Alligator mississippiensis: one gene and its partners. The protein of the gene in region 2 interacts with the protein of the main gene of each other region in a pairwise test. Links are inferred from orthologs where the notes say so. Each region holds a gene or a part of one and is shown on either strand. Other genes may lie near its edges.

The links.
Region 1: the proteins of RGS2 (region 2) and WDR74 interact in a two-hybrid assay, tested with the Homo sapiens proteins (2 studies listed by BioGRID and IntAct). The link is inferred for Alligator mississippiensis from reciprocal best matches to the Homo sapiens genes RGS2 and WDR74.
Region 3: the proteins of RGS2 (region 2) and DDR1 interact in a two-hybrid assay, tested with the Homo sapiens proteins (2 studies listed by BioGRID and IntAct). The link is inferred for Alligator mississippiensis from reciprocal best matches to the Homo sapiens genes RGS2 and DDR1.
Region 4: the proteins of RGS2 (region 2) and CTSB interact in a two-hybrid assay, tested with the Homo sapiens proteins (2 studies listed by BioGRID and IntAct). The link is inferred for Alligator mississippiensis from reciprocal best matches to the Homo sapiens genes RGS2 and CTSB.

Annotation. Positions count from the first base shown.
Region 1 is NC_081838.1:3,266,694-3,274,765, reverse strand, and holds the start of WDR74 (WD repeat-containing protein 74), read right to left. Parts: upstream 3,091-8,072; 5' UTR 3,025-3,090; coding exon 2,964-3,024; intron 2,708-2,963; coding exon 2,601-2,707; intron 2,502-2,600; coding exon 2,380-2,501; intron 1,966-2,379; coding exon 1,902-1,965; intron 1,612-1,901; coding exon 1,468-1,611; intron 1,291-1,467; coding exon 1,189-1,290; intron 1,008-1,188; coding exon 907-1,007; intron 790-906; coding exon 734-789; intron 616-733; coding exon 473-615; intron 364-472; coding exon 307-363; intron 115-306; coding exon 1-114. Other genes in the region: TMEM179B (transmembrane protein 179B), read right to left, coding at 7,983-8,072. UniProt on the Homo sapiens protein: Regulatory protein of the MTREX-exosome complex involved in the synthesis of the 60S ribosomal subunit. Participates in an early cleavage of the pre-rRNA processing pathway in cooperation with NVL.
Region 2 is NC_081828.1:61,772,034-61,779,130, reverse strand, and holds the start of RGS2 (regulator of G-protein signaling 2), read right to left. Parts: upstream 3,054-7,097; 5' UTR 3,002-3,053; coding exon 2,901-3,001; intron 1,358-2,900; coding exon 1,256-1,357; intron 1,159-1,255; coding exon 1,097-1,158; intron 1-1,096. UniProt on the Homo sapiens protein: Regulates G protein-coupled receptor signaling cascades. Inhibits signal transduction by increasing the GTPase activity of G protein alpha subunits, thereby driving them into their inactive GDP-bound form.
Region 3 is NC_081834.1:56,448,881-56,456,338, forward strand, and holds the start of DDR1 (epithelial discoidin domain-containing receptor 1), read right to left. Parts: upstream 3,087-7,458; 5' UTR 3,013-3,086; intron 2,677-3,012; exon of another isoform or gene 2,588-2,676; 5' UTR 2,395-2,587; intron 1,983-2,394; exon of another isoform or gene 1,791-1,982; intron 1-1,790. UniProt on the Homo sapiens protein: Tyrosine kinase that functions as a cell surface receptor for fibrillar collagen and regulates cell attachment to the extracellular matrix, remodeling of the extracellular matrix, cell migration, differentiation, survival and cell proliferation.
Region 4 is NC_081824.1:8,402,834-8,410,555, forward strand, and holds the start of CTSB (cathepsin B), read right to left. Parts: upstream 3,076-7,722; 5' UTR 2,973-3,075; intron 1-2,972. UniProt on the Homo sapiens protein: Thiol protease which is believed to participate in intracellular degradation and turnover of proteins. Cleaves matrix extracellular phosphoglycoprotein MEPE. Involved in the solubilization of cross-linked TG/thyroglobulin in the thyroid follicle lumen.

The DNA of each region.
Region 1 (8,072 bases), on a different chromosome or scaffold from region 2:
TGGGTCCGCAGCCCGCTTGGGGGCAGGGTGGGTGCGCACAGTCTCCATGGCGGCCCAGAGCTCATCCTCTTCCTCCTTGACCTCTTCCGCCTTGGCTGGGTCGGGGTCTTCGTCCTGGGGGAGCAAGGAAAGGGGGGTACAGACATCAAGGTCAGGGTCTTTGTCCTTGCGGGGACTGATAGTCTCCATCCCAGAAGCTGTAAGGGTCCCCTGCCCCCCCACACCTCAGATGCCCCCTACCTGCTCCCCATCCCTGCCGTCCTGGCCCTGGGACCCCCCCCTCCGCCCCCGCCCTCCTCCACTCACCTCCCAAGCCTCTCGGCTGGTCAGCAGCAGACAATTCAGCTGAGACTTCAAGTAAACCTGCGGCCAAGGGGGCACCAAGTGAGGAAGGAGCAAACAGCGCTGGGGGGCCATAGGACAGATGCCAGCTAGGGTGCTTCGGGAGGGTGCTGGGGGGGTCCCAGCTCACCTTGTGCTGCAGGCGTTTGTCGTCCAGGCCGTGCAGGCGTAAGAAGCGGTCAAGGCCACAGGAGGCGACAAGGGGCCGGGTCGGGTGGCACTGGACCCCGCGCACAGCCCCCGCGAAGCCCTTCAGGCACTTGAGTAGCCGCCCTGGCGGAAGGGGGGAGGTAGGCAAGGGGCCGGTGAGCAGGCCTGAGACCCCCAGGGAGCAAAGCCTGGGAGACACCCCCACAGCCCTGACAGCACCCGCAGCCCCACCAGGGCTCACCTTGTCGCAGATCAATGACGGCCACGTCCCCGCGGGCACTGCCCACCACCACCGAGCTGCAGGGAGATGAGGCGTGAGCAAGGGGCCGCCTAACCCCCCTGCTCTCACCCCCAGCCCCCACCCCTCTCCCGGAGCAGGGGAGAACTCAGGTGTCTGGGGGCCCAGGCACTCACTTGGCCCCGGGGGCAAGGGAGAGGGCAGTGAGCGGGTGCTCTCCATATGTCACCTCCAGCACAGGGCGCCGCTGTGGGGAGCTGGGGTCATAGACACGCACCTAGGAGGGAGAGTAGGGGTCAGGGTGCCCTCCCCACATGGCCAGCTGCCCAGGCAGGAGGTGGGGGATGGACCAACCACAGCGTTCCTGTTATTAAAAGTAACACCCTGCCCCCAAACCTGTCCCTACAACCCCCCCTCCTTCCACAACCCCGATTTCCCTCCCACCACCCTGCTCCCACCTGGTGGTGCCCAGTGCAGGTGATGATCTTCTCAGAGCCAGGCAGGAACTGGAGGTCGCGGTCCCAGACGGGCACCCTCAGGTTCAACCAGTCGTGCCGCACCTTCCGGGGGGAAAGGAGGGGTGAGCCTGGGGGGGGGAGGGGAGTACACGTGGGTGATGCCACAGAGCCGGACAGGAGCCATGAGGAAGGGGCAGGGGTGGGGGGCTGAGGATGCCCAGGCCCAGTGGGGTGGGGGGGAGAACAGGACAGGACAGTGAGGCCAGGGCTGTCACTCACGTTCTTGGCACGGAAGATGGGCTCCTGGGGCTGCTGCAGGTCCCAGACCTTGAGAGCGTTCTCCTTCCCGCCCGTGCCCACGCACTGCGGCCGTGCCGGGTTCTGCCGCATACGGCACACGCCGGGCCCCACCTGCAGCTCTGCCTGGCAAGGTGGGGGGAGGACAAGCACAGGAGAGATGTTACCCAGGGGGCCACCCTACATCCCCCCCAGCCTTGACGGGCACTGGAGACGGGGTGTGATGTGGTGTGTCCCCACCCCCAGCTCACATCCCCTCCCAGGGGCACCGGTCAGGCTCTGCCCCTCCCTGCCAAAGCAGCCAGGAACCAGCCCTGGACACTCAGAAACTGGGCGGGGGGAATGGGACAAGGCACCCCCCCAGTTTCCCATGGGACCCCTCCCCCAGCCCGGCCTGCTTCCTGCCAAAGACTCACAGCCTCAGAAGAGTCCTCGTGCCAGACTTTGAGAAGCCCGGACTCCACGCAGGTGATGAGGGAGCTGCCGGGGCCAGGAGATGGAGGCAGACACGGACACAGACAGACGTACACACAGACACAGAGAATCTCGCTAAGAGCAGCTGCAAACGCCAGGAGGCCCCAGGAGCGAGGGACAAAACCGGCAGGGGGAGAACGGTGCCCAGGGAACCCCAGGGAGGGCGGAAACATCTAACCCCTTTCAAGGGCCCAGGCTGCCCCATGGGGAAGGGAGCAGACGGACCCCTGCCTGGGCTCTGGCAGGGAGAGGAGACGGGTGCCTGGGACGCAAGGCACGGAGGAAGCCGTGCAGCAAACTACTGCCCCTCGGATCCAAGGAGGGGGGAGGACGGGGCTGGACAGACGCCAGGCCTTGGGGGATTAAACCACAGCCCCCCACCGGGCCAGCAGAAGGAAGGGGGAGGCTCGGACACCGTACCCGTCCTGCACAGCCAGGCCACGGAAGGGCCCCTCCCCGCCAGGGCACAGCCGCGACTCCGTGAACTTCCCCTTCTCGGTGCTGAACAGCTTCACCGACCGGTCCAGACAGCCCACCAGGATCTGGGCCGGGGGAGGGGGAAGCACCGTCACGCAAAGCTCCTGCAGACCCCCCTCCCCACCCCCCGGGGCCTGACCGGCCGGCTCCAGCCGGCCCCTCACCTCCGACTCGAGGGGGTCCCCCCAGCACATGGCGCAGACGCCCTCATCCCGCCGCAGCGCCCCCGACGCCGTGTAGTTCGTGGCCTGTTTCTTCTGCAGGTTCACGCCTGGGGGGGCAGGAGATGAAAAAGAAGGACGGGGTTCAGATGGGGGGGCACAGCTTGGGAGGAACCAGTCGGGGGGGAGCAAAAGGGGTGTCACAAGTAGAAGGGAAGGGGGGTGCCAGCCTAAGGGACAAGGAGGGGGGCGTGCCCCCCTCCCCCTGTAACTCCCCTGGGGGGGCAAGAAGGCACTTTCCTGCCCTTGGGGGATAAGGGGAGGCCCCATTAACACCCCGGGGGTCACGATCCCCGCACCCGCTACCTTTGAGGATCCCGGTCTCGGCGCCGACCCACACGTGATTCCACCGCGCGGGGGACGCCATGTTGCTCCCGGTCCTTGCCTCTCTCGGCTCCGGCTGGCCGCACTTCCGGCGAGCGCAGGGGGGACCGGAACTGGGGCGGAACCCCGCCCACGCGCGCACTTCCCGCGGCCGGGGGGGGAATCCTGCCGGACCAGAGGCAAGAGGGGGGCGGGGTTTCCGGGATCAGTCCGCCCGGGCCGGCTTCCGCTCTGCGTGGGAGCGCTCTTGAAATTGCTCCGGGCTGCCGCGTTCACGTGACGCCGCGTTCCCGCCACCTCTAACATGCAACAAGGGCGTCCCGCGCGTGGGGGGGCTCCGCCCCCAAAGCCCCCCCATGCAACCCCAACTTCCCTCCCCCCGCATGCCCCAGCTGTAAGCTGGCCGTCAATAGTACCCCCCCCCCCCTCTAATCTATGGTTTTAAGGAGCAAACCTCTAGGCCACTCGCAGAGCAGAGGCTGCTTCCCACCACCCCCCCTACATCCACTGCTCCAATGCCAAGGCCCCGGAGGGGCTGATGGAGGTAAGGGGACTGCCCCAGCCCCACAGAGGATGCTGGATGGAGATGCAGACCCAGGACCACGCGGTCAGGGCACTGTTAGGCTGCAACTGAGACTAACCAGCCCCAACCCCCCCCCCCCAGCTGAGCTCCAGGTCGGATAGCCACACACAAACACGGCCACAACTGCTTTAGACAGAGATGTTTTTATTCATTAGGCCGGGTATAGACAGACAGCAGCTGGGTTCGTCCCTGCCAGGCCAGCCGCCCTTTAGGTACACAGCAAAGGGGAGAGGAGGAGCATGTTCCTGCTGCAGCCACATCACCTCTTCAGCACTCCAGCCTGCAAGCAAGTAGTGAGAAATGGGGCCTGCTCCTTCACCACAGCTTGAATGTGCAACCAGCAACCCCCCCCCCCCACTTCCTCTCATCCAGCCCCATGGTGAGGTATCAGGCCCAGTTCCCCCCACACCACACAGGGCTGCAGCCACTGGCCTCAGAGGGACCACTCAGTCACAGAGTTCAGCCTGGGGCGGTATAAGCCTCATCCTTGACCAGGATTTGCTGCCCCACTTCCTCAGGCCCTGAGCACTCACCATGTGGGGGTCACCACCTCCAAGCCAGGAGCTCAGCTCTCCCTGCAGAAAGAAAGCAGTACAATAAGCCCCTGGCACCAGGTGTGATGGCTCCCCAGCCCCCTCCTCACCGGCTTTCAGGTGTTCAAAGGTTTTCATGCTATGCATCAAAGTGAGCTAGTTGAACTCATCACAAAACCGCAATCAGAGCCACCCACATACCCCTGCCTGCAGCAAGGGAAGATTCTCACCCTTCTGCACTCCAGAGGGTTTATTCCAGCCTCTTCTCTTCCATGCCAGGCAGCCATGGGGGGCACTCACAGCCTAGTCACTGCAGCCAGATGATTTCTCCAAGGATCTTCAGCCTGGGGGAGGGTAAGGAATGTTTAAGGGGCCCCAAGCAGAGCAAGGGCTAAGGCGAGGGCTCTACAGAGGCAGGGAGCGCCCGTGACACTCAGAGTCCGATTCTCAACAGCAGCATTCAGCCGAACGAGATTCCAGAGTGAATTCATCCCGTCAGCGGGCAGCCCTGGGGGGCAGGGACCAGGCACTCACCTGGGCAGAAGCCAGCAGCAATGTTCCCTCCTAGCACCTGGGGAGAACCAGAGCATTCAGTTATAGGCACCCACCACACAGCCCCCAGGCGCCCCTAGCCCCCACGATAAGCCAAGAGTCCCATCAGACAGTTCCAGCCAGAACAGGTCATCCTCCTCTCCGGCTGCCGGCACCAGTGGGTTCAACCTTTGCAGGTTCTGGCACCAGAACAGGCAGTAAGACAAGTGCAAGTCTCCTCATTGGGACAGGCCTGGGGTGGGGGGTTGCAGCTTGGGAGCTATGATGGGGGCAGGGGCTACTCACCACTGCCGGGCTCCAGGGGTCCTGCCTGAAAAGAGACAAGACGATACAACAGGGTGAGGGGATGCAGGGGGCTGAGGCTGGGGCAGGAGCAGAGGCAGCTGCGGTCTGATCAGGGCTTTGGTAACAAATTGCCATGAGACACAAAGTCGTCCAACCAACAAGAGTCATCCTTTCAGATCGCTGGCCTGCGGAGCCCCCCAGGATAGCACTGGCACCAGCCAGGGTCTGGAAGAGGGTTCCCTCCCCTATCTATCCTCTCAGCCCCACAGACCCCCACAAGGCCCAGTCCAGCCCCACAACCTACCTCCATGAGCACAGCCACAGCCCAGCCTCCACAGAGGAGCCTTTCAACCTGCAACAAGGAGATGAGGATCTCAGGGCTTCAAAAGCCCAGCCCCCCCATAAAAACCAACCCCCTACAAGGTATCACAGGTAAAGAGAAAGGGAATGAAGACCCTCCTAAGACCCACCCCCCTTCCCCCTGTGGGGTCAGGCAGGGCTCCCAGGTTCTCAGAAGGAAGCTGGCATCAGGGACACTCAGCCATATGCTTGTCTGTTTTCTATTCATCACAGAACAGGCGGGGAGCAGGTACGCGCCAGCCCTGCCCCCATCCCAGCCAGAGCCTCACACCCACGGGGAGCAGCACTCACCTGCAGAGAAGCTGCAGGCACCTGCAGCTGGTGTGATCCATGCCTGAGGGAGGAGACATGCGTGAGACCCCACACACCAAGACACAGCCCAGCCCAGCCCAGCCCTCCACCCGGGGTGGGACCCTACAGTGCCACTCAGAATCTGGTAAAGGCTTTCTCCACTGAAGCATCAGCAAGAGAGAGTTCGCTGGTGTCGTCCTTGTGGCACAGCACATATCCCCCGCCCGCCGTCGTCACCCCTTCAGAAGAGGGGAGCCTGCGACTCACCTAGGCACAGGGCAGGCACCAGGGCCACCAGACCTAGCAGAGAAAGAAGGGCAGAATTAACATGCAGGCAGGCAGGAGGCATGCACCCCCCCCCCCCGCGAAACCCAGGCAGGTCTGTCCTCAGATATCATGGGGGTCTTCACACGGCCGTCAGCACAGGTCTGTGATAGGTCTCGTCATAGAACAGCATCCCGCCGCACCCCAGGTTCTCCCCCACCCCATGAGGGAGAAGGGGGCTTTTGCCCCCACAAGGCCCCAACACCCAGGGCTCAGGAGATGGAAGACCCCAGGCAGGGCGAGGGACTCCCTCCCCTATACCCCGACCACAGCTCCTGGCCCCATACACCCCCACAAAGGGAAGAGGGAGGCTTCATAAGCCCCTATGCAAAGGGTGAGGGTCTCCCCCCAAAGGCTGCAGGCTCCAGGGTCAGGGGGGACTCCGAGCGCAGGCCGGGGGGGGGGGGGGGTGAGCTCCAAGGGAGGCTCCCCAGGGCCAGGGTGCCCAAGAGGTTGGAGGTCTCCAAGGCTGCATATCCAGCACAGGATCAGTGGGGGGGGCAAAGGGGGGTGGGGGCTCCCCCAGTGATTAGGGAGTCTTGAGGGCAGGGTTTGGGGGTCTCCCCAAGGGGGGGAATCTCCAGGGCAGGGGCTATTGGGGGGGGGGGGGGGGGAGCTGCACATGGGCATTTCATGGTGCCCCGGGGGACATCACGGGAGGTATCCAGGGCAGGGTCTGAGGACCCCTTAATCCTGCCCACAGAAGCCCCCAACTCAGGACAGGCCCCTTGGCCCCCAACCCACGTGGAAACCGCCCCCCCCCCCCACGTGGCTGGCAGCAGCACCCCCTCCCCCCGGTCCCTGCCCCGCTCTCCGCCGCAATACCGCCAGGGCCGAGGAGGAAGGCGGGAAGCAGCAACGGCCCCACACGGCGCGGGGACCCCGGGCGGAGCAGACGGCGGATGGCAGCGGACCCCCCGTCCACTCACCTGCAGCAACTCGCAGGAAATGGCCGAAAAAGCCCGCAGGCGGGGCAGAAATACTCCGAGTCGCGAAGCATGCTGGGAGACTCCGCCGGGCCGACCAATGGGAAGGCCGAGAGCGCCCGTTGACGTCAGGGAAGGGCGGTGGCATACGCAGCGGGGCTTCCATACGCATGCCCGGAGAGGAGGATGGCGCGCGAGGAAGTGCGCATGTGCCTCCCTGCGGGCGGCAAGGAGGGTCCGTGCGCATGCGCGAAAGTTTGCGGGAGATGGGAATAGGAGCCGCATGCGCAGCTCTTTGGGGACCCCCCCTTTAGAGACCCCCCCACACCGCCTTGAGCACCCGCCCCAGGCCCTGCGCTGGATGCCCCCCCACACTTCTGGGGAGTCCCCAGACCCAGCCCTGGAGTCCCCATGTTATGGGGAGCCTCCCCAGCCCTGGAGCTCCCCCCCCCCGCGCTTGGGGAGCCCCGTCCAAACCCCACCCTGGAGATCCCCCCACTTGCAGAGCCCCCCAGACCCTGCCCAGCAGCCCCCCAAACACCCCCAATGCCCCCCCCACATTTTCAGCAGGTGGCCGAGGCCCCCCCCCCGCGCTGCAGGGCCTTGGACCCATGGAAGGGAAACAGCACCCCCCCCACCCCTCCCAGCCCAGCCCAGCCTAGCCGGCGGGGGTCGGGTCATCCCGGGTTTATCCCCAGCTCGTGACCCCAATCCGGCCTCGGGGCTGATCCGGAGAACAATGCCCCTCTCATGAGCGGCGGGGCCGGACGCGGGGCGGGGAGACGGCAGCCGGGGGCTCCTCTGGGGAGAAGCAGCTTTTTTAATGGAGGTTTTGGTACAAAAGAGGCACGGCTCGGGATACAAACCCCCCCCCTCCACCCTGGGGCAACTAGTGCTGGAGACCGCCTGCCCCAGTCCGGGGTGCTTTGGCCCCTGGCCTCGCGGCACTTTGGCTCCAGTGTCGGGACGGCTTCGGGCTTGTCAGAGCCCAAAGCCGGGGGGCTCCCGGTGTCTCCAGCCCCTCTGCTCCGTGGGGCTGGGTCTAGGGCCCCCCCTTGCCCGGAGCCAGTGGCCTGGGCGGCAGCGGGCATGGGAGGCTGGAGGGGGCAGAGAGGGGAGGAGAAGAGGGTCTGCCGGGGGGGCGCTCTCAGTGCCGAGGCCCCCGGCCCCCGATGATGGCCTCGGTCTCGGCGCTCCACTCGGGGTCCCTGCGGCTCAGGAGGCGGAAGGGGGCGTC
Region 2 (7,097 bases):
TAAAGCTGTTACGGCATGCAATTGCCTCTCTGCATATATACAAACAATTATTAATCTCTGCAACAGCTTGTTGCGCTTCATTTTTTTTTTTTTAGTGAAACCATAAGACAAAAAAAACAAACCAATCTAAACTCAACATATTTAAAAATAAAACAAAGCACCCTCCCTGCCAAAAAAAATTGCTATATCTTTAAAACAGACATTATACAATTCCACTCTTGAGAGGAGAGCTTGTATATTCACTTCTAGGTGGGAGTAAATATTTGTGACAGAGCTATAAACTACTGGAAGATGTTTGTAAGGAAAAGGCTGATTCAAAGTTTACTGGAGCAAATGCTGATCTAATTAGTCTTTTTTTGCTCATTTGGTAAGTGGTTTCTTTTGCAGAGACTGCAGTAAAACCCAAAGAGGAATAAACTGCCATTGATTCACTGTTGTGGAATCAAGCCCAAAATACGTAAATTTAACAGTTTATCGTGGATAGGAATCCCTCTTGTATACAAGCAGCACAAAGCATGTACCATTTGGGTTGAGGAAAATACTGTCATGTATTAGCATTTTGCTTGGAGCAAGATGTTAGAGCTATGCGTTAGGGTCCAATTCATCCTCTACTACAATCAATCGTGACATTCAGTAGACTCTTATTGTTAAGGGTTAATTGTCAATTGATAAGAGTTGGTGCATGAGCAAAGCTTGCTGAATGCAGAAACTAAGTATGGTGTGAAAGGATGGCTCTTTTTTGCATTTATGCAGTATATTCCTGCAAAGCTAGAGTGAAATACAGGGCCAGCTAAAAATACTGGGAGATGACAAAGATTAGGGCTACAGCAAGAAATAAAGATTTTGCAGTCAGAAATGTTTCTCATGAGAATTTTTCTTATGATTTTTTAGGTACATGCAGACATTTTATAAAAAGGACATGCTAGGGCTTAGATATTCATGCATTCACAAAGTTGTTCAATGAGCAATTTAGAATCTGGATGTGCACTGAAGACCAAGACTTATTCTTATTTGTGACAGCCTTTCCTAAAAACTACAGGGAGATGGTAATCTTGTAAATAAAAGCTTGCTCTATCTTCCTTCAAGACTGACTTACATTTGTTAGTTAGAAGTTCATCAAAAGCTTCTGACCACAGCTGGGCTTCTTCAGGAGAAGGCCTGTATAAAGAGGGATAGACAATGTTAGATGGTTTTGTTCCTTTCATGTTTAAAACATCTGCGATTCATTTGAGCAAAATCTGAATCTTTAAGTTACCTGAAGTAAGCATGTTGTTTTCCCTTTTTCTTGGGCTTCGTTTTGCGAGAAGTGGAAGAATTTTGCAGGAAATAGCTCAATCTTGTTTTCCAATCTTTAACACTAGAAAATAAGAAAATACTATATTAAATAAACAGTTCATTAAAAACAGAACAAAACAAAAACACGTTGTTACATCTTCACAATTTTTTACTTGAGCTAGGAAAGAGCATTGCAAAATTTTTCATTAGTGTTTCATGCTAGTTTTGCCAGCCCAGCAGCTGTGGGACCAGATTCCACATCTTTAATTTCCATTTCAGAAAGGTATGACTCCTATTTCAGGGAGCACAAAGGTTCACTGCTAAGGTGAGCAGACCAGCCCCTATCCTGTGACAGGACAATGACTAACTGTTACTAAGGCATCTCTGAATAGTGAAACAAATAGAGGTGTGTTTTTGAACATGACACAATATAGCATGTTGACCAGGACTCAGTCTTTCCATGATCAATGGGAATTTTAGCCTGTCAGAGACTAAAATGGGAATTGAGTCTCAGGTGTACTGTTCTTAGAAGAACTTTTTATTATAAATAAATTTAAATTTAGAGATTTGCTCTCTCAGTCTGAGGGCCAATATTTGGACTCAGAGAATCCCAAATGATCACTTAAGTGGCTAGGCTATTTTAGGGCCACACTATGAAATCTGTAGACCAGCAAAAAAGAGTAAAGCTGCAGCACAGAATGATTCACAGACCTTTACATGACATGGGGAACTTCACAACAGCCTGTTCCTTACAGTTTAAATATCATAGGTCTCATCAGATAATGCAAACAATCAAGTCAATGCAAGCTTTTCAGAGATGCTTTGTTTTGGGATAGTGGGTCCCTGCAGCATTTTCAACTCCTTATACCCTGTATGCAGCACAGGATTATAGGAGGACATCACTCACCCCGTACAACCTCACTGTTTCTAGGCACAACAATGATATCTGCATTCATTTCCCCATTCAAACATGCACCAGACCCACCCAGCCATTGCCTTTCTCAGCAAAAGTTCAGCACACACAAGCACTTAGCTGCTCTGGGCTTCTACAATTTGGGCTTCCCTAAATCCCCTGTGACATCCAATACATAAAATACCCCATTCTGTCCTTGCCCTCATACTTGCATCAGAGCGGAAAGCATTTTTTGTTTTAAAACAGACCACCAAGGCTGTGTAAATGTCCTATTTAAATGTAAGTGTCACTAATGCCCAAATCTGATAGATAAATCGACCGATCCATCTACCAGATCTGTGTGTGTGTGTGTGTGTGTGTGTGTGTGTGTGTACACACACACTATTTATAGATGCCTATGTCTACACACAAATAAATATACACGTGTACACACACATAGCCATATGCATCTATTAGCAGATATACATGTATAGATGCCTATGTCTATAGAGGTTTATTTCCAGATGATATGTATACACACACACACAAATATGCATATACATACACACACCTCTACATCGATCTATTCATAGATCCCCATGTCTATAGATGCCTATTTACAGATCAAAGGCTTTTTCCAACTGAGAGGCACACTCAAATCCCGATCCTGAAAGCTGCAGGTAGCTCTGCAGGGAGCTGGGCAAGGACAGGCATACAGCTCATATCAACTCACATCGTTCTCTTCATCTTCCCTTTCTTCTCTTCTTTGCTGCCACCAGTCCGCTCCATTTGTGCGCAGTTGTGCTGGAGGGCAAAGAACACGACACTCTGCATGCTAAGAGCTCCGGGGCGGCTCAGGCCAGGCGGGCACTACGAGCGCGGGGCAGCGGCGGCCTTTATAGAGAACGGCGGGGGCGGGGCTGCTCTGGGTCCCGCCTCCGCGCGGCGCCGATTTGCTCGTGGAAAGAACAGCGCGCGCGGGCTCGTGTGTCACCGGCGGCCGGGCGCGCACGTGGGGAGCCGCGCTGACGCAGTGTCCCTCCGGCTCCGGGCAATCGCTGGCCAAAAAAAAAAGAAGAAAGAAACCAGCGATTGCTGTAATCGCCCGCCGGCAGCTGCCAGCAGAGCCGAGCGCTTCTGTTTTGGTTATAGCCAGAAGGAAAGCGCTCACGCACACGCGCATAGCTGGCTATCTGGCTGTCCATCTAGGGACACACACATATACGGCGTATACACACACATCTATCTGTCTGTGTATCATCTACAGACACACACATACCTATCTATCTACAGACATATCTATCTATCTATCTATCTATCTATCTATCTATCTACAGACACATGGACACTGATACAGTATACACACATATCTAGCTATATACATGCACAGACATGCACACATATGGTGTATATATATATTCTTATATATACACATACATACACACATGCATATACATACATACATATCTACAGACACATGGACACAGATATAGTATACACATATCTATATACATACACAGACATGCACACGTGTGTGTGTGTGTGTGTATATATATACACACACACGCATGCATATCTATTTATCTACAAACACGGACACAGATACAGTACACACACTATCTATATACATACACAGATGTGCACACATATATATATACACGCATGCATATACATATATACATATCTATTTAGCTATCTAAAGACACACAGATACAGTATACACACGTATCTATCTATCTATCTATCTATCTATCTATCTATCTACATACACGGACACGTGGTGACACGTAGGGGGTGCATGGGGTTGCACGTGCACCCCTTGAGAGCGCTGGTGTACCCCTCTGCAAGCACCGGCCGAGGAGTGGAGCTCCGTGGCGCTCCCAGAAGCGGCCGTAGCCACTTCCAGATGCAGCCTCAGCAATTGGCTGTCTTGCGATCAGCCATGGGGGGACTCCTCCTCCCTGGTCAGCGGGACTGGCCATGGGGGGATCCCCCCCACTTACTGGGGGGCATGTGCCCCCCGACTAAGGCAGCACCAGTCGCCCATGTATATACACACACATATACATACAGAACGCGTCTACATGTGCGCCCCACTGTGCAGTCGGTACTGTGCAGTCATTTAGTACTTGCTTTAGCACAGTACTAAATGACTGTGCCGTTTCTGCCAGTACTGTGCAGCCCTGGCGGCACACAGGTCATTGCTACTGTGCATTAGCAGTGGCATCACGATTAGTGCCCATTGACAATATGTCGCCTTAGTGACGAGTTATGCTGCCGTAGCTTATTGCTATGATGATGTAGTGTCTTGTGTAGAAACCCCCGCCCCCCACCACACACGGACACACACATATAAACACACATACATATATAATGTACTGGATGTCATTGGGATTTGGGAGAGAATATCTGCATTGTAGAAACCCAAAGCAGCAAAATTCTTGTCTTTGTTGAGCTTGCTGAGAAATGATATATATATTTAGTAGGTGTGTGCTCACTTGTATATAGATATATATTTGGTAGGTGTGTGCACAGAAAGCTGGTGGGGGGGAAGGGGTGCTGCACATTTGAAGGCACCAGATCAATGCTTTGGCACCTTTTCTCACATTCTGGGAAGGTCAATGGATAATAATGCAAGAGCTGTTGTGCTCATCAGCCTAGCTCCTTCTTCCCTCCCAAAAAGAAAACAGTCCTAAAAAGGATAATTCAGACTAATAATTATGTTCTCTCTTTGCCATAATATCTTAATGATAATGCTAAGGTTGCTTTAGCATTTGCTATTTATTGTACTCTGCAGCAAACAGTTTGGAACGATGGAATCTTGGTAGCGTTCGAGAATTCATTTTTTTGTGTGTTAACTAAGCAAAGTCTTGTATTTCTCTTCAGTTTATTTGTGTGTCTGGTAAGGAGATGTACCAGGTTTTGCACAGAATTATTTACATTCCAAACATGATCCCCTTTGTGCTAGTGTTTTACAGGAAATTCTGCCTTTCACAACCAGTTTTGCACTTGGAAAATGTTGTACAACCTGTGCTTGTTCTTACGCTAAAATCTGCCTGGAAATTTTTAAAGGCATTTAATTTAATAAAGGAATTTTCCATTGACCTTCCCTGAATGTGAGAAAAGGTTCCAAAGCATTAATCTGGTGCCTTCAAATGTGCAGCACCCCTTCCCCCCCACCGTATTGACATCTCAAGGGAAAGGACTGAGTCTCTCCCCTGCCTGGTGCTAGGTTTACTTTCAGCTCAACTTAATAGACCAGTGATTCTCAACCCCTTTAGACTCAAGGCACTATTCAGAAATGCCAGCTTTTAGCTTTCATTCATTTCTTGACCACAGAAAAACAATAGAGCAATTCTTCTGTTGCAAAGAGCTCAGAAAACCCACAACAGATTAGGGTGTTGGTTTTTTTTTTGATCCTGTAGATTCCTATTTTAAACCTCTGGGTTTTTCTTGTGAACCATACATAGATGCTAGTATTGCACAGAACTCTTATAAGATTTTCATGGCACTCAAGGGTCCAGGATCCTGGTCCAGGGTCACTGGGCTTTTTAAACATTTAAACTATTTAAAGACTCAAACGGTTTTCATTTTTGCTGAAGTCATTCCTTGGAGTGTGCACAGCTCATGAAAAAGAAGAAATGAGAACTATAAATGCAGGCAGCCTTTCAAAAGAAAGATACATAAAATTAAAGTATTCACTTCTTGGTAGTTTTTCTTTCCCTGATTATGTACGCTATTTTTTTCTGCCTTAAACTGTATGAACATTTACACTTTTCTAACTCTTTGGCAAGTAGAAATCGTGTATATTGCTGCCATATGAAACTGAATTTGTTTATTTCTTTGTCTAAGCCTTTAGCTATAATTTGAGGATTTATGTGCTATTTCCCAACAGATTCAAGTGCTTGACTGGGCAGCAACTTGTCCACGGCATTCAGATTTGGAATACATTTCTATTTCTTCTCTATCCTTACAGTTGCTTGCACTACTGAACTGCCCTGAAGAGCGCAGTGTCTAGCAGGGACTGGTCTGAGATGGCCATACAGATTGTATTCATTGTGATTAGTAAGATCTAAGGGTGTAGTCACAGCAGTTTTTGGCACTTTTATGCACAGTTTGGGATAGAGTGTAGCCTGTCTATTAAGATACCACCTGGCTGTGGTATGGCTAAGCAGCTGCTTGAGAGACTAGAATCACTTAAGTATGTGCATAATGCTTGGTAAGTCCCAAAATTTTAATGGGAGAAAAACCATGGTGGAAAAAGGGACCGTCCATATTTTTAATCCAGTGATTAGGGCACATGCCAAGGGAGCCACAGACCCGAGTCCTTATCCCCTTTCACCCAAAGCAGGATTTGAAACTGCACCTCCTGCTCCTCAGCAAAGTGGTCTAAACACCAGGCTACAGGCTAGGCATTACCCAGAGCACTCTTCGGCCCTCTTGAAGTTAACCCACTGAGGACTGTGGTTCTGTTGCTTGCTCCAGAAGACAGGAGTCCCACTTTTTTAAGTTGAACCACAACTCCTACTTGTAGAAATTATTAAATTCAAGGTGCATAGGGCCAACTAGAAGGGGAGGGCTGGAAAGTGCTCTGAGTGATACCAAGCAAGTGGTTTAGAGCACTATGCTGGGAAGTGGGAGATGGTGTTCAAACCCCATGTAAGCAAGGGTAATTTGGAATCTGAGCCTGCTGCTCCATGGATAGTTGCCCTAACCACTAGGCTATTGGACTAAAAGGTAGAAGGGCCATTCTTCTCCTTCATTTTACTTGCAGCAGGCATGTGCACAGGGTTGATTCTCTTCTATCTAGGAGGGAAACAGATTTCCAAAATGTGTTGAAGTGGGGGTATCTAGTAAATACCATCTGTCGCTGTAAGTGTAATACCTCAAAGTTGAGACAAATATAACTTCTAGACATCCACAGAACTCT
Region 3 (7,458 bases), on a different chromosome or scaffold from region 2:
GCCACCGGGCCCCAAGTTTAATTAATACCTCTGTATAACTAATAGCATGCTATGTTATTTCTAACATTATTTCTATTGATCCCTGTCTTTATTGTATAGCCCTGGGTGTCACTGCATTAGTTTTAGTAAGACTGCCTTACTTTTTATATGTTGTTTAGTTTACCCAATATATTCGTATTCACACTCCTATTATCATCATTGTTAGCATTAGCATCGTTACTACTACTACAACTTGCAACGCATGCAGTGATTAATGTATTTAACTACCTAACACCCCCCCTCCCCCCGAAGTAGACACCTACCTTTGTTTTGGGAAGTACAAATGAAGCAGGGGGAAAAAAAGAGGGATTTCTTTTCCTTTTAACCAAACCATTACAGTTTCCTAATTCAATTTTCAATTGCTAGTTTCTGGGGGAAAGGTTAGTGGAGTATGTGAATAAATAAGGTGTCATATCAAAACATATATATAATCAAATATATTTTGATTAATAACCTATAATCATGCATCCAATCACATATATGATTTATACGAATAATGCATCCTTGCATATATAGCCAGATGTGCATAGTTTAACAATATGGAGCCATAGATGTGTGTGTGTATGTATATGTGTACATATATATGCGTGTGTATATGTATATATATGTGTGTATTTGTGTGTGTGCATGTTGTATATGTACAAATGTGTGTCTATACGTATCTGGGTGTGTATATGTGTGTTAGTATGCATGTGTATATATATGTGTGTATGTGTACAGGTGTGTATATATATTTGTAAGTGTGTATGTACATATGTCTATATGTGTGTGTTTCTATATGAATATGTGTATATATATGTATGGATACATACATATGTGTCTATATGTATGTGTGTATATATGTATGTGTGTATCTGGAGATATGTGTGTATATGTGTATTTATGATTTATAACAACAATGCTGTTAATATTATTGAAACGTGTTTGTTTTTAATCACAAAGTTTGGTGTGTAATTCTATGATCTCTAGCAAAATTGCCTTAATTCTTATAGTTTCAATAAGGATAATGATGATTCTGATTATTATTTTGATTTATATCCTGCTCTATTCAGAAGGTCTGAGTTACCTACTAATTACTATTACTGTTATTTTGAGTAACTGTGACCATCTAAAATATACAATTAATCACAGCTCTGTGCATATCATTAATATATAACTTAAATACATACTTACATCAGCGTGTGTGTATTAAGAATATATTCTAAGAATGCTAATACTATTATGGAAACATTTTATTATACTGTACTATATTATATTATACATTGCATCATATCATATCATATCATATTCATTACTTGTCATATATTCTATTATATTTATTGTTTGACTGTGTGGGTAATACATGAATCTTTTGCCAAATTGCCTTCATAATTAGTGGTATTCTTGTGTTATCTGCTTTACTGTAATCCACAATAAAAAAAGCAGCAATGCTAACACTAATTTGCATAATTGCTCTGCCTCTGCTATTTATGACCACATTTATCACCTCAAACATCAGAGCAGATATAATTACTTAGCTTTACTCCCTCTAGTGACTAGCTGTTATTTTTATTTTTTTTTATTTTTACCTCTCACAGCAACAGCAGTAGATCTTGCTATTCCCCATTGTTTAAATGTCGAATTGTCCATTGCTGGGTATTAGTTTCTCCTTTTTGCTAATGGCCATGGGGCCTTGGCATTGTGAGGTCTTTCCCATGGTTAATTATCACCCGCTATAATTCTTCGTGTCCATCCAGGCCGAATCACGTTACCTGCTAATGCGATTTCAATGGCCGGGAGTGATCGATTCACTGTTATTATGGTTCACAGGCTGCATAGATGATGAGTCTCACCCGTGTAAACTCGTGGAGCAGCTGGCTGAAGGGGAAGGGTCTCATGGGAGAGCGAGGGGTCGGAGAGAGTGAAGGTTTGAAAGCGGGATGAGGAGGAAACCATTTGGAGACAGCCCCCGAATGGGGCGGGTTAAAAATGGCTCAGGTCAGAGCTTATACCTGGCGCCTGCCGAACCTTTCCGAGACGGCTGCAAACTTCGGTGCCTGGAGCCAGACCTGAAATAGTCCCTGTCGGATTCCAATCTCAGGCCTACGCTGGCCTCGCTGAGATCAAGAAGCCGGGGAGCACCCCAGGGATCACTCTGGGTTTACTCAGAGGTCACCGACTTCAGAATCCAGCCTGTGTCCCTGGGGGTCGCTCTGGATTTCAACCAAGGTCATGGAGAGAATGGGCCTCATGCCATTGACAGCCACCAAGTTAAGAGCCGAGAAAATCGGAGATGGGAGATCCCCTTTTCTTTCCCCTCCACCGCCTCCCCTTCCCCTCTCCCGCCCCATGGAAAATGCATCCCAAGCGAATTACCTTCTCTGACCCTCCTTGCTTGTCTTACAGGGAAATATAATCCACGGGAGAAAGAGAAAAGTCCCCGAGACAGGAGCCCAGGTTTGAAGCCACTTGGTAAATCCAGTTTCGGAGCTGGGGAGCGAGGTCTTCCCAGCAGCGAGTCTTCGAGGACTGGCACCCACAAAGCCCAGCCCTCCAAATCCAAGGAGTTCTGCACAATAAGAGAGAGAGAGAAAGAAACCAGCAGTTTTTTGTTTTTTTTTTTTGGCGTGTCCCTGCAAAAGAGTCCAGTTCCGAAGGCTTCTGCTTTCCCCTGATCTCATCCTCCACCAGCCCCAGGATTTGCATAAACTTGTTTCTCCGGGAGCTGGGATTCGCTGGCGAAGTGTAGGCAAAGAGCCCAGACCTCCCTCCCCCTTGCCGCCTCCTCCTCTTCTCAGCTGTTCGCCAGAGTTTTTCCCAAGAGGGGCCTCTCAGCCTCATTGTGCCTGGCTGGGCTGCCATCAGGCACAGAGAAAAGGAAGACAGAAGGGGGAGATGGGGGCGGGAGGGTTGCCTCAGAAATCACAGCTTAAAAATTCCCCACTTCCCTGTTTCTAGCTCAAGACCTGCAAGAAGAGGCCTGTCCCTTCTCACCTGCTCTCACTCGGGGTGGAAAAGTATTAAGGGGTTCCCAGTCTCTGCCAAGGACAAGAAATCCACCCGTCTTCCTCTCCCGGGCTAGGGTAAAAAGTGAGTTTTAAGTCCCCTTACACACGTGTCTTTGTCCAGCTGGGAGGGGGAAAAAAAGTGAGTTGTAACCCCCGCCCCCTGCACGCACACACACCCAGACTCGTGCTAGGATAAAATGAGGTTTAAACCTCACCTTGGTACCAAAGGGACCGTGTATTTCAATTCCCCTTTGCTGGGAAGGGGCAGGGGGAAGGAAGACTCCTACTAGGATAAAATAAGTTTCAAATCCCCCCAACTTTGGTGCTAAGGGGAACATGTGCTTCAAATCCCCAGTGCTAGGGGGGCAGGGAAGTGACTTGCAACCCCCCTCCAGACTCATACTAGGATAATATGAGTTTCAAATCCTCCCCTTTGGCACTAAGGGAAATGCGAGAGAGGCACAACATGCACGTAGATACGCAGGCCCACAGACACGCACACGTTCACACACAGGGGCACGCATGCACATACACACACATGCACCCCACAAGCTAAGCATCCCCCAGACGCTAAAAGCACCCCCAAGCTAAACACACACAACTCCACAAGCCATGGGTGACTGGTGCCTGGGGGGGCACCAAAACGCAGACTGGGGCAGGGGGGTGTCCCCCCAATGGCTGATTGCCAATGGTGGGGGGGGGGGGTCCCCCAGCAGCTAATCACTAAGCCAGTGGCGAAACCAGAAGTGCACTTCTGGTTTCACGGCTGGCGCTTCCAGGGGGTGCACGGCCGATCTCGGGGGGGTGCACCCCCTATGCATTGATAATGCCACAAACTGAACATACACATGCACACACACCCCTCCTCCTACAAACGTATTTACACCCCCACAAGCTAAACACACACACACCCCAGCTAAAAATGACCCCCCCACACACACTCAAGCTAAACACACACACACCCACAAGCTAAAAAAACTCCATTTCACCTCCTCACAGCCCTGCCTTGATAAAGGTAGTTACAAGTTCCCTCCCCTACCCTCGCACGCTTGCAGCTTAAAGAAAAATCGTTTCAAGTCCCCCCCACATTCCGACCCCTGCTTCTCATTACCCCCTTGGTCTCTGCTGTCCCCAAATCCCCCTCATCCAGGATGCCCAGTCCCCAATCCCAATAGTGGTCTGGGACCCAGAGGCCTTCAGGCCTAGGTTTTGACCTTTGTACTTAGCTTAAGCTGAGTGCTTAGCTTGAATTGTGGTCGAGACATGCACTCGGTGAAAGGAGCAGATGGAAAATACTGTTCCTGACTTTATACAAATTGGGGAGTTGGCTAACTAAATTGAATAAATTGCTTCTCGGCCTCTTGTTAGCTCAGAACAAGTGTAGCCTGGGCAAAAGAGGAGCAGTAAGAGGAAAAAAACCTACCTCTACCTAAGACTGAAAAAATTACTTCAGAATAGAAAATTTCAGTTGAGGGTAACCATATTTGGCAAACAGAAGCAAAAGTATTAATATGCATTAGGAGGGAGACTTAAACTCTTTTTATGTAATGGGCTCCCCTCGCTTTATGTGGGTTCTCTATGTGCGAATTCGCTCTTATGTGACGACCCTTTTTATACCAAAAATTTGTTATATGCAAGATAAATTAATGCTTATGCGATTAGTGTGGTAGAGTTGCTTTGTGCGGTGCATTGTGGGAGGGATGCGCACCAAAATACAGTCTCCTGTGTGGATCTGTGCTCCTCACTCGTGTGCGACGTGTTTCTGTAGTTGCCATCCTCATTACAATAGTACTGTCTGCTACTGGTGAGCACCAAAAATGTCTTGTAAAAGTGATAGAAATGGGCCTGGGGGTCAGTACAGTCAAGGTCTTGGAACGTATCCCTATTTGTTGCATTGTAAAATGGGTTCCCTTTATGCAAATTCAAGTTACGTGTTGTTTTCCAGGAACACGTGTATTGCATAAAGCGAGGGAAACCTGTATTAAGAAATGCAAAGCTATCTGGTATATAAAGAGTGGTGAGAGAGCGTACCCTTCGGAGCCTGCTCTTAAAAGACCCAGTCACCAATCCGAGACTCAGAACTCAGATGAAGGAGTCAGGAACTGTGGACAAGACCTCCCGGACTGTCCATCCAGTGATGGTGCATTTGTTATAGCTCGGTGTGGTGAGCATGCTGTTCGGCTTTTGACTAACTAAGGTATTAGAACTGTAACTGCTGAGGATACCTAAGGACAACCGTATCTTAGTCTGCACACTTGGTAAAAAGACCCGTACCATCATTGGATTAACAAGTAAGAGACGAATTTCCCACTCGGCTGCCTTGGTTTAGATTGGAGATTCCCTCTTTCCCCAGTCCACCACCAGAAGGGAGGACTTAAAATTCCCATTTTTTAAACTGGGAACTAAGGGAGTTTCACTCTCCCTCCACCCCCTCATTCTGATGGATGAGGAGAAGGAAGAGGCAAGTCAGCTTCAATTTTTAACCAGCCATAAGCAGATCCCTTTAGACTCCCCAAAAAACTGAGTTTTGAGGCCTCCTCCCTGCTGCTCCCCCAATGGAAAAAAAAAAAGTCCATTTCAAGCTGCTTTTTCCCTTGGGAAAAACCCAATTTGGACCCCGCGCTCCTTCCTCTTTTCCTTTTCCCTGTGCAAATTTTAAGTCTTCCCCTCCCCTCTTCTTGGTGGCTAAAAAAATGGGATGTTCAAATCAGCTACTCATTACCCAGCCTGTATTGATGCATGGGATTATTCCATCCTAAGTGCAGGACGTTGCCCTTCTTTTTGAACCTCATGAGATTTTTTTAGGTCGAATCCTCTAATTTGTCAAGGTTACTCTGATTCCTAGCCCTACCCTCCAATGTATCTACTACTCCTCCCAGCCTGTGTCCTCTGCAAACTTTTTGAGGGTGCACTCTGTCCCATCTTCCAGGTCATTGATGAATTAATTCATTGAACAAAACTGGCCCCAGGACTGACCCCCGGGGCACTCCACTTGATATCAGCTGCCAGCTAGACAGCTAGTCATTGATTACTACCTTCTGAGGCTGGTGATCCAACCAGTTTGCTATCCACTTTATAGTCCATTCATCCAACCTGTACTACATTAGCTTGCTTGTGAGAACGTTGTGGGAGACCGTATCAAAAGTCAAGGTATATCACATCCACTGTTCTCCTCACACCCACAGAACCAGTCATCCCATCATAGAAGGCAATCAGGTTGGTCAGGTATGACTTGTCCTTGGTGAATCCATGCTGACTCTTAAATAGAAATTAGAAGCTTTACTAACATACTAAGGCACCTAGTGCGATGATATTCAGCTTAAGAGCAAAGCAAAAACAAGTCGAGCTTTATAGGAATGTGTACAAATTAGTTAGATTTTATATAAGGTTTAAAAATACACAACAAACTAGGCAAAAATCATCAAAAGAAATTGTTTCATTAATCCTGTAGCCAACATAGTTAATTGTGCATCTCTTGTTCAGATGTATAAAGCACAAACTAGCCTGTGTGTCTTGACAGCGCATCCAACACTTCACTGTCAGTCATCTCCACACCTGAGTTAATGTTCACTTAAGTTCATAGGACCACACCTGAGATAAGGCTTTTGGCAAAAGCTATAAACAGTCTACAGGGCTGTGAAATACGAGAGAAACATTAAGAGGAATGGCTGACAGACAGCAACATTGCAGAAGGAAGGACGGCTTGAATAGTAGAACAAGACCACTGAAAAGGTGAGGGGGTCATGCACACCTATGGAGTAGTGAGAGATTAGCAGGAACTAGGGAGATGCTAATGAGTCACAAAGTCAGTGGATTCTCTCATTACTGCCAGAATAGAAATGCCCCTGCCCCTCCAGGTAGATGGTTTAAAAACTTGGGTGGAGCAGGAATCAAAGGTTGGAGAGAGACCCTGTGTGTGTGTGTGCATGTGTATGTCTGCACACATGTGTGAGCCCTGTTACATGTTGATTAAAGCTGGATAGAAACCAGCTGTAAAGTTGTTATACATTTTCAAGCACTGTGTAGCTGCTTGGCCCTTTTCATAGCTGGCCCTTTACTACATTGATTGCACAACTGACCAGTTAACCATGTGATAACTACTTGAGAGGCTAGGATTTCTTAGGGTGATCTCTTTTATTGGACCAACTAGGTAGCTGGTATCATGTTAGATAAGCTTTCATGTGTAAGACAGTCTTCCTCAGGTCTCTGAATATAGGAGGTAATTACTTTGCACTTGTGGCCAGTCCAAATTTATTTCACGATTGACCAGTAAGATGTGCAATATATGTAATGTGTGCCAAGGGCCTAGGAAGAAAGTGTGGGGGAGCTGGGATGAATCACACCCGATACAAAGGCAGGATATCCCGGCTGCCACGAGGGCAGCTCTGATTCACGTTCCATGCTGTATGGGGCCCGGAAAGCCACGAGATCC
Region 4 (7,722 bases), on a different chromosome or scaffold from region 2:
TGGTGCGACACTGGGGAAACCTTGAAGGGCTGGACAAGACAAGGCATCCTGAACACAGGCTGGGGCCCAGGCAAGGGAAACAGAGGAACTAACCCTTTTGAGATGCTGCTTTGTTTCTTTTGGTGCCTGGTTACAAGTCAAAATCCAAAACAGCCACAAGTCTCCAAGATGCAGTTTTACTTCTAGGAAGGAGCAGAAAGCATCTACTTTGAGCCCAGCCTGACATGACATAGCTGCACTTGGCAAGAGGGGGTGGCCCGATCTAGCTCAGATCTGCTTCTCCAACAGCTGAAGCAGTTACTTCCCCATAACTCTGCCTCCCCCTCCCTAATGCTTGGGGAGGGCATTTGCATCCTCCCATGCTTTACAGAAGAGGGTAGAGGGCAAAGAAGTGGTGGTTGTACTGCTTTCATGGATATCTATACCCATCCTCTTTAACAAAGCGATGGGCAGGACAGATCCCAGGCGCGCACCTGCTTGGAGAGCTTCAGGACTGCAGCAACACGGGGCAATGGTGTGAAGACACTGCTGCCCCGATACCAAATGCAGAGGGTATGCTCCCATTCATAAACCAGCAGCTAGGAAGCTTTTACTCATCATGGATTGGGACTGGCTAGAGCAGAAGAATAATACAGAGCACCTGGGCTCTATTGAGGCCTCCACCACTGACCGTAGGGAAAGTCATGTCAGTGCCTCAGTTTACTTATCAGGAAGTGGGTACAATACTTGTCTACCTCTCCAGAGGCTTAACATTCACAGGCTCCCAAGAACGCACAAGGGAGACAGAAAATACAAATCATGCATCTGTCCAGGCTATAAAACAGAACCCCAGAAGTGCCCCTCCAGGGTCGCTGCACCTACATCTTGCAACTATCACACCCATTCTACGGAGAAAAATCCCCAAACTCCCCATCCTTCACAGCGATGGCTGTCACTTTGGTTTGTCACCGTTGTGCGTGTAACACTAAGCTGCAACGAAGCCAACGTGTGCACAAAGCAACTGCATTTTGCTACAAATTGCAAGCTTAGCTTGTCGCACAAGTGCCAGGCTCAAAACTCAGGGTAGACAGAGGCCTGCATCATCACCAAAAGGTCAGTTTTCAGAGGGTGACTGCACCCAAAAGCGTGCAAAAAAGCCATTTTTCCCCACCCCCAACTAATAAAAGATATCACAGATACTCAGGAACCTTAAACCAACACAGCTACAAACCAAAACCCAGAAGCACCCGTTTGCATCCTTGAAGGGTAATGAGCAGACATTGCCATCCCTTACACAGGCTGCAAAATTAGCATGTGCTCTAGGCTTGCAAGACACAGCATCCCTCCCCACACAGTATTAGCACATTGAAAAAAGGCTGCTCTAAGGAATTAAGTTTCATTTCACTCAGGAGACATCTGGATAAACTAAAATCAGGTTTCGTGCAAGCATCTGGAACTTGATTCCCCCAGCACAAGGCCCCCCCCCCTTAAGCTTCCTAGTTTAATCAGGAATTGAAACACCCACAATACAGACTGGGGCCCTCTCAGGAAGCCCTATGCTGCAGAGTTAAGATATTGGGATCCAGTTTCCTGCTGCAGCATTTAGACAAATGTTTAAACACTTCTTGGTCAAAACCAGCTCTAGGGGTCTATTCAGGGATGCAGAGGGCTGGCAGGTTGGGAAGTTTCCTCCAAAACCCCTCAGCAGTAGCAGGGCCAGTCAAAGCCGATGCATGAACCAGGCTCCGGTGGCCTGAGCTGTGCTTCAGGACAAGCCTGGTCCCCCCGCCTGTTTTTAAGAATTAGAGATTTCAGGGATGCCCTTTTAGGGTGAGCAGCCCCAAGCTGGGCAGCGATGCCCCATGCACCACCCTACCATGCCGAAGCATTTGGGATGGCACAAGGCAAAGGAAGCAGCCCCTATCCCCAGGATCTCTTCTAGCAGTGACTGCAGAGGCACTGCAGATGCCATTTTAATCCCATATTACACATCCCACAATCCCAATGAGCTCTTTCCTCTGCAGCGAGCTCTGGCATAGGCATCGGTGGTGACCGAGAGCAGGCAAGCCGCACTGGGGTAACCCGCATGGCAGGCACATCTATGCCCATTCAGGAGTTGCTCCCAAAGGACTCTCCCAGGGACCAGCACCTTGTCCCAAACCCTGGGCAGGCCTCGCCTCTATCTTCCCTGCTCCGCCACCAGGCACGCACACCCTGCCACACATCTCGCATCTCCTTCCACCGAGCACCCAGGAGCGACCTGGGCATACAGTGCAACCTCAGCCTGTGCTGCAAACCGGGAGCAACTCTGCAGGGAGGGAGGCAACTTCGCACAGTAAAGAGCCAAACATCCACGCCCAGGAGTTATGTTTTCCCAGAAATCTTTACAGACCAGGCCCCACGTTTCAGATCAGCGCAGGGCCAAGACCCAGGGTACAACCAAACAGCTAAGGAGCTGCCTGCACCTCCCAAAGCAGCCCGAGCACCTATGCAATGCCCAAGCTGCAGCGTACTCCCACCCATGCAAGCCCCAAGTCACTTGCTCACCCCCCAGGAGGGAAGGCACCGACTGCTGCAACCTGGGGGGAGACGACCCACAGCAGGACCTTAAGCAATGCACATAAAAAAAAGACACGAAGGCAGCTCTGGATTTGGCACATCTGCCAAATCCAGAGCAAGGACTTTGCACCCTTTGCCTGGGACCCCTGGCCTAGTGCGAGAGCAACAGGGCCAAGAAAGCAAGGTCACCTTGTCTCACCCTGCGGGTCAGCGCCTAGCAAGGGGGTGCAACAACACAGCAAAGGATCCGGAGCAAGGTTAGGAAACGGATTAAACTAAAATAAAAATAATCATAATTTAAAAAAAAAAAATTGCCTTTAAAAAGGAGAGAAATGGGGGAGGGAAAAAATTAGCTTTTCCCTTGCAGGGGCACGCATAGATCCTGCTCCAAAATAGGCAAACCAAACCAAACCCCTGTGCCCAGCCCGACTTACCCGCAGCAACAGCAGCAGCGCCCGCAGCCTCCCGGCCCTTATCCCGGCGCAGCTCACGTGCCTCCCGGCCGCTCACATGATCCGCATCACCCGCCCCCGCCCCGCGTGAGCCCGGGCGGGGCCTGGCTGCAAGCGCTGCAGGAGCCGGGGCCATCCCCACCCCTGCGAGGTCTGCCTGCCTGCCTGCAGGCAAAGCCCCTGCTGGAGGGTCTGCAAGCAAAGCCCTGGCCGGGACAGTGCACTTGGCCCCCATATTGCACCCCCCGCAGTCCCTACACCGTGCTGGAAAGAGGTGTGCATGGCACATCCCCTGGTGTGGCACAGCATAGCTTGACCTCCAGCTCAGCCCCAGCTGGAAGCTTTGCTAGAGAGGCAGTGCAAGGTCAAACCCAAAATGCAGACAGCTGGGTGCTGATTTAGCAAGCGTTTGGCCAGACCAGTGGATTGCAAGAATATATGAAAGGGTTGCAAACAAGTGTTAAAAATGGATTTGCTTTTAAAGGAGGAAAGCACAGGAAACTAGCATGGCTCCAGCCTGCAAGGGGCTGCTTGGGGCCCCCGCAAGCCCACCCCTTGCCCTGCATGCTGGGGGCAGCAGGTTGGGAGTGAGGGGTGCTGGGTCAGGCCTGGCGTTCGAGGTTTACAAATGGGTGCTGGTACGAAAAGGGTTGAGACCACTGATCTGTATGGGGCTCAGGGACAAGGAGCCGTGGCCTCCAGTTGCAGCAAGGGAAGTTGAGGTTAGATATTAGGAAAAGCTTTCTCACTTGGCGTCAGATACCGTCCACAGCTCAGAAAGTCTGGAGTCCTTCATGTTTGCAAACCACTCGGGTACTGGGGGGGGCATGACGGCAACAAGTGCCAGCGGAAAAATTGGCTAAATATTAAATACTGCTTAGTAGAGCAGGAATGATCATTAGCTGGAGTGCATCCATCATAGAAACACATAGAAACCAGCTGAGCGTTAAGATTGCAAGGCTCTCAAAAGTTGGGATGTGCCAGGCTTACCCTTGCCTGCACCTTGTTCACTACCTGCCTTTCAGGAGCAGCAGCAAACACCAGCTCCTCCCAGCACAGATCCATCCTGTGCCCCGAATATGGCTGTGTCCGGTCAAAAAAGGGCAGCATTTTGTAGCCATTGAGGGCTTGACTTTGCATGCTTAATCCTGTTTTCTGCATGTAGGTGGGGATTTTATTTTGGTTGCGGGAGGAGGCAGTGTCATTTCCTTGCCTTTTTAAAAACAAAAAATCAAAATGAAAAAGGAAGACATTCGGTCATATGGCACGATCTTGATGCCGATGCTCTTTGCAACAGAGGAGTTGCTCTGTTATTTTGCTATAGTCAAGAAACGAGTGAGAACGGACATTTTCCAAGGAGCGCCTTGAGTGTTTGAGGGGTGCCTCAAATCTATCGAGGGGTGCCGCTGGTCTAGAAAGGTTGAGAACTGCTGCTTTGGACCCGCCTGGCAGGCCTCAGCCGCTTGAGCCCATGGAGTCATTGGCAGCGGTAGTGGGTGGTTATCCCCTGCGGGGACCAGCAGAAGAGGGTTGCCAGCGAGTGCCCTAGATGTTGGCTGACTGCAAGTGGTGAGGCTCACCCGTTCTCCCAATTTTGAAGAGGAGCATGCCCCAGTGGGCATAAACTCCCCCCCAGCACCATCCCTTCTGCTCCATTCCCTCCAGGCCATCATGTCTTTCCTCCACCCCTGTGCTGCAGTTGGATTGACCCGACCACACCAGTAATCAACCTAAAATTCCTTTATGAAACCCAAAGGCTTAGTCATGACTTTAGGCAAATGCTCTAAAATACTTTTCCAGGAACAGATCAGAGCCAGTCCACCATTTCCAAATGTTCTCATCAACTTCCTCAAACACAAAGCCTCCTTCGGCAGGCTTTGCTTACTCTTAGTCCCTTCTTGATGCAGTATTGCCACCCCCATCGTGTCAAAAATCATGAGACAAACTCTTAAAAATCAAGAGATTTGGAATGTAAATCATGAGATGCTATTTTTGAAGTGTGCATGGGGGGAGGGTTATTTGTGAAGGGGTGTGGGGGGGGGGAGGTTTGCAGCCCTGGCAGGATGCAGGGTACTGTGGGTGAGGGGCAGCAGCAGGGCTGGGGGCTGTGGCTTGGGAGTGAGGGGCAGACACAGGCATGTGGACAGACAGCCACCCACGGCTATGTTGCATGACTCGCCCCTGCCCCAGGGTCCCCATTCACCCCAGCTGCTGCCCCACTCCCTCCCCTCGATCTTCCCCCTGCCCCGTCCCCTCCACAGACTTACCAGCTTGGTGCTCTCTACACGCACCGGAAGAAGAAAATCCTGAGATGTGATCTCTCTATCAGAAGATCATGAGTCAGAGTTAATTTGGCTTGGAAATCAGGAGTGTCTTGATTTTTTTCATGAGAGTTGGCATTACTGTTGATGCTAGTGAATGATGTAGCCAAGGATTATGCAAGAGGCAAGGGGTTTGGGGTTTTTTTTGGAGGGGAAGGGTGATATCTTTTACCCGACCTGAAATAAAGCTACACCTGCTTTGTGTTCATCAAGTCTGAGCAGAAATGCAACCAACCAGTCAAGACTTGAACTGTGAAGATGGAGGGGAAGAGGCAAATTCCCAGGGGTAGCAGAGAAACAATTAGCAGAAGAAAGGAAGCTTATTCCTGGCAGATCAAGACCCATCCAAAGGGAGGGAAGGGGGTCATTAAGAGGGGGGGGAGTCATTGCTTCCCCCCTCAGACCTGATGAAGACAGTCTTGCATTTCAGAGCTTGTCTGACTTTATTCCAACCAGGTAGGTGGGGCAATAAAAGATTAAATCCCTCCCTTCTTGATGGGCTTTCCTGGACACACTGGAGCCAAGAGGTTGGCACACCCAGCTCCTTGCTATTGTCTACTGCCTTTTTAAGCCTTTTTAAGTTAGCTTATCGCTAGCAGCTCCTTTCCTTTGTCTAGGGCTTAGCACCTTAAGGCAGGCCATCCAACATCTTGACAGATGAAAGAAGACAAAATCAGTGGGTCAGTGGTGCTTGGCAGTGATACCCAAGCTGCAAACCGCCCACAATGGCTACAGGTCCACTGGCCAGACGGAGGTTAAAGCACTTTACCACCCTAACAACAGCACTGTACATGCCTGTCCTTTTTTTTTTTCTCTTTGGATGCTTGGAGGTTTGATCCATGCTTGTATATAGGAATAAGCTTGACCATGCTATCACTTACTGCATATGGTATTTCTTTAACATACTAGGAGCTGCTTCAGTGCAGGGTGCTGGGCCGGACAGCATGCTGAGAATAGGAGGATCGGGTCCATTGGCTTGCCTGGGGTTGAGACAGACAGGTTCAGCTCCCTGCTTCGCCCCCAGCTTCCCTGCTGTGTGATCTCAGGCATGTCTGCCTGCTTTCATCAGTAGGTTGGGGAAGATGTTGCCTGGAGTTCCCAGGGGTGTTTCCGGCTGTGTGGGGTCCGATGTTATGCCTACGCTGTATTTGGCAGGCAAGTCAGGATCTAGCAACCCTCTGTCTAACTCTTGCAAAACTTTCTCACGTACAGCTCCCAGCACGGGCCAAACTTGGCCTGCCCTAATTCTATGTGTTTTGCTAACGATAATAACTTAATTGCTGACCCAAATAAATTACTTGCCCAGAGCTACTGGTAAGTAGAGTTTTATAAAGCGGTTAACCTCCCTGCAGATCCATCCCTGCAAAAACTAGATGCAGTTACGTGTTGCATTGAAATCCTCTTCTGACGGCGTCCTGGTTTTGGAAAACAAAACACGATGGGGAGTAATGTTGGACCCTGTGGCTTTAAGAAACTAGATCATGATGTCATATCTTGCCCGGATCACAGCTAAGACCTCAGTATTTAGGTTTGCCCAGGAACAGCATGTGCCTAACCCTTGCTGCCCGGTCAGAAAATCAGCTTGCCTGTACCTATGGAGCAACAGGTCACAACTGGGGTCCCAAGAGGCAGCCCCGGGGGGGGGGCTGTGTTGCAACACGGAGCAGGGACACAGGGGTTCAGAGAGGCTTCCTGTAGAAGGGGAGGCGTGGGAAGAAGGTCCTTTGGGATTGCATGGGAAAGCATTGGGCATTTTAGCTCTGCATAACGTGCCCCCTCATCTTGCTGTGACCCGGGAGCTTCAATCCTTTAACAAGCAGGAGAGAGACACGACTGCAGCTGTTCTTTCCTTCCTGCGGCAAGAGCTGCCTCACCCACGGCAGTTTCCCGAAGGTGCTCAGGGTGATGCGTGGTGGTTTCCTGCTCAACAGAAAGCCGGGGCGGAGGACCACGCTGTGCCCCGTGCAGGGCTGTGTTGCAGAACGCCTCACCTCTTGGCCTATCCAGCAGCATGAAGCAGCTGCAGAGCAATCCCTCGCCATTCCCCCCATGGGCTGCGGTGGCAAGGGAGCACCCCGTGGCTCCAGGTGTGGCTGCCTTGTGAGCACTGCCCATGCACAGTGTGGATCCTGCCAGCAGGCCTGGACCATTCACCCCTGAGAGCAAGATAACCCATGCATCCCTGTTCTGCGATGGGGGTAGGACGGGGAATCGGCAGTGAGTGGAGACCCATCAGACATGACTGAATGAAGGGATCCTGGGTGAGGGATGGAGGCAAGGGCATAGGCCGGGGGGGGTCAAGCTCAGGCGGGTTGGAGAGCCGCGCTCCCTCCTTTTCAGGTGCCTGCCAGCCACATGCTGGGTCCCACACTGGCAGCGCCATGGGCAGAAGCTCTAGCACCAGGCGTGAG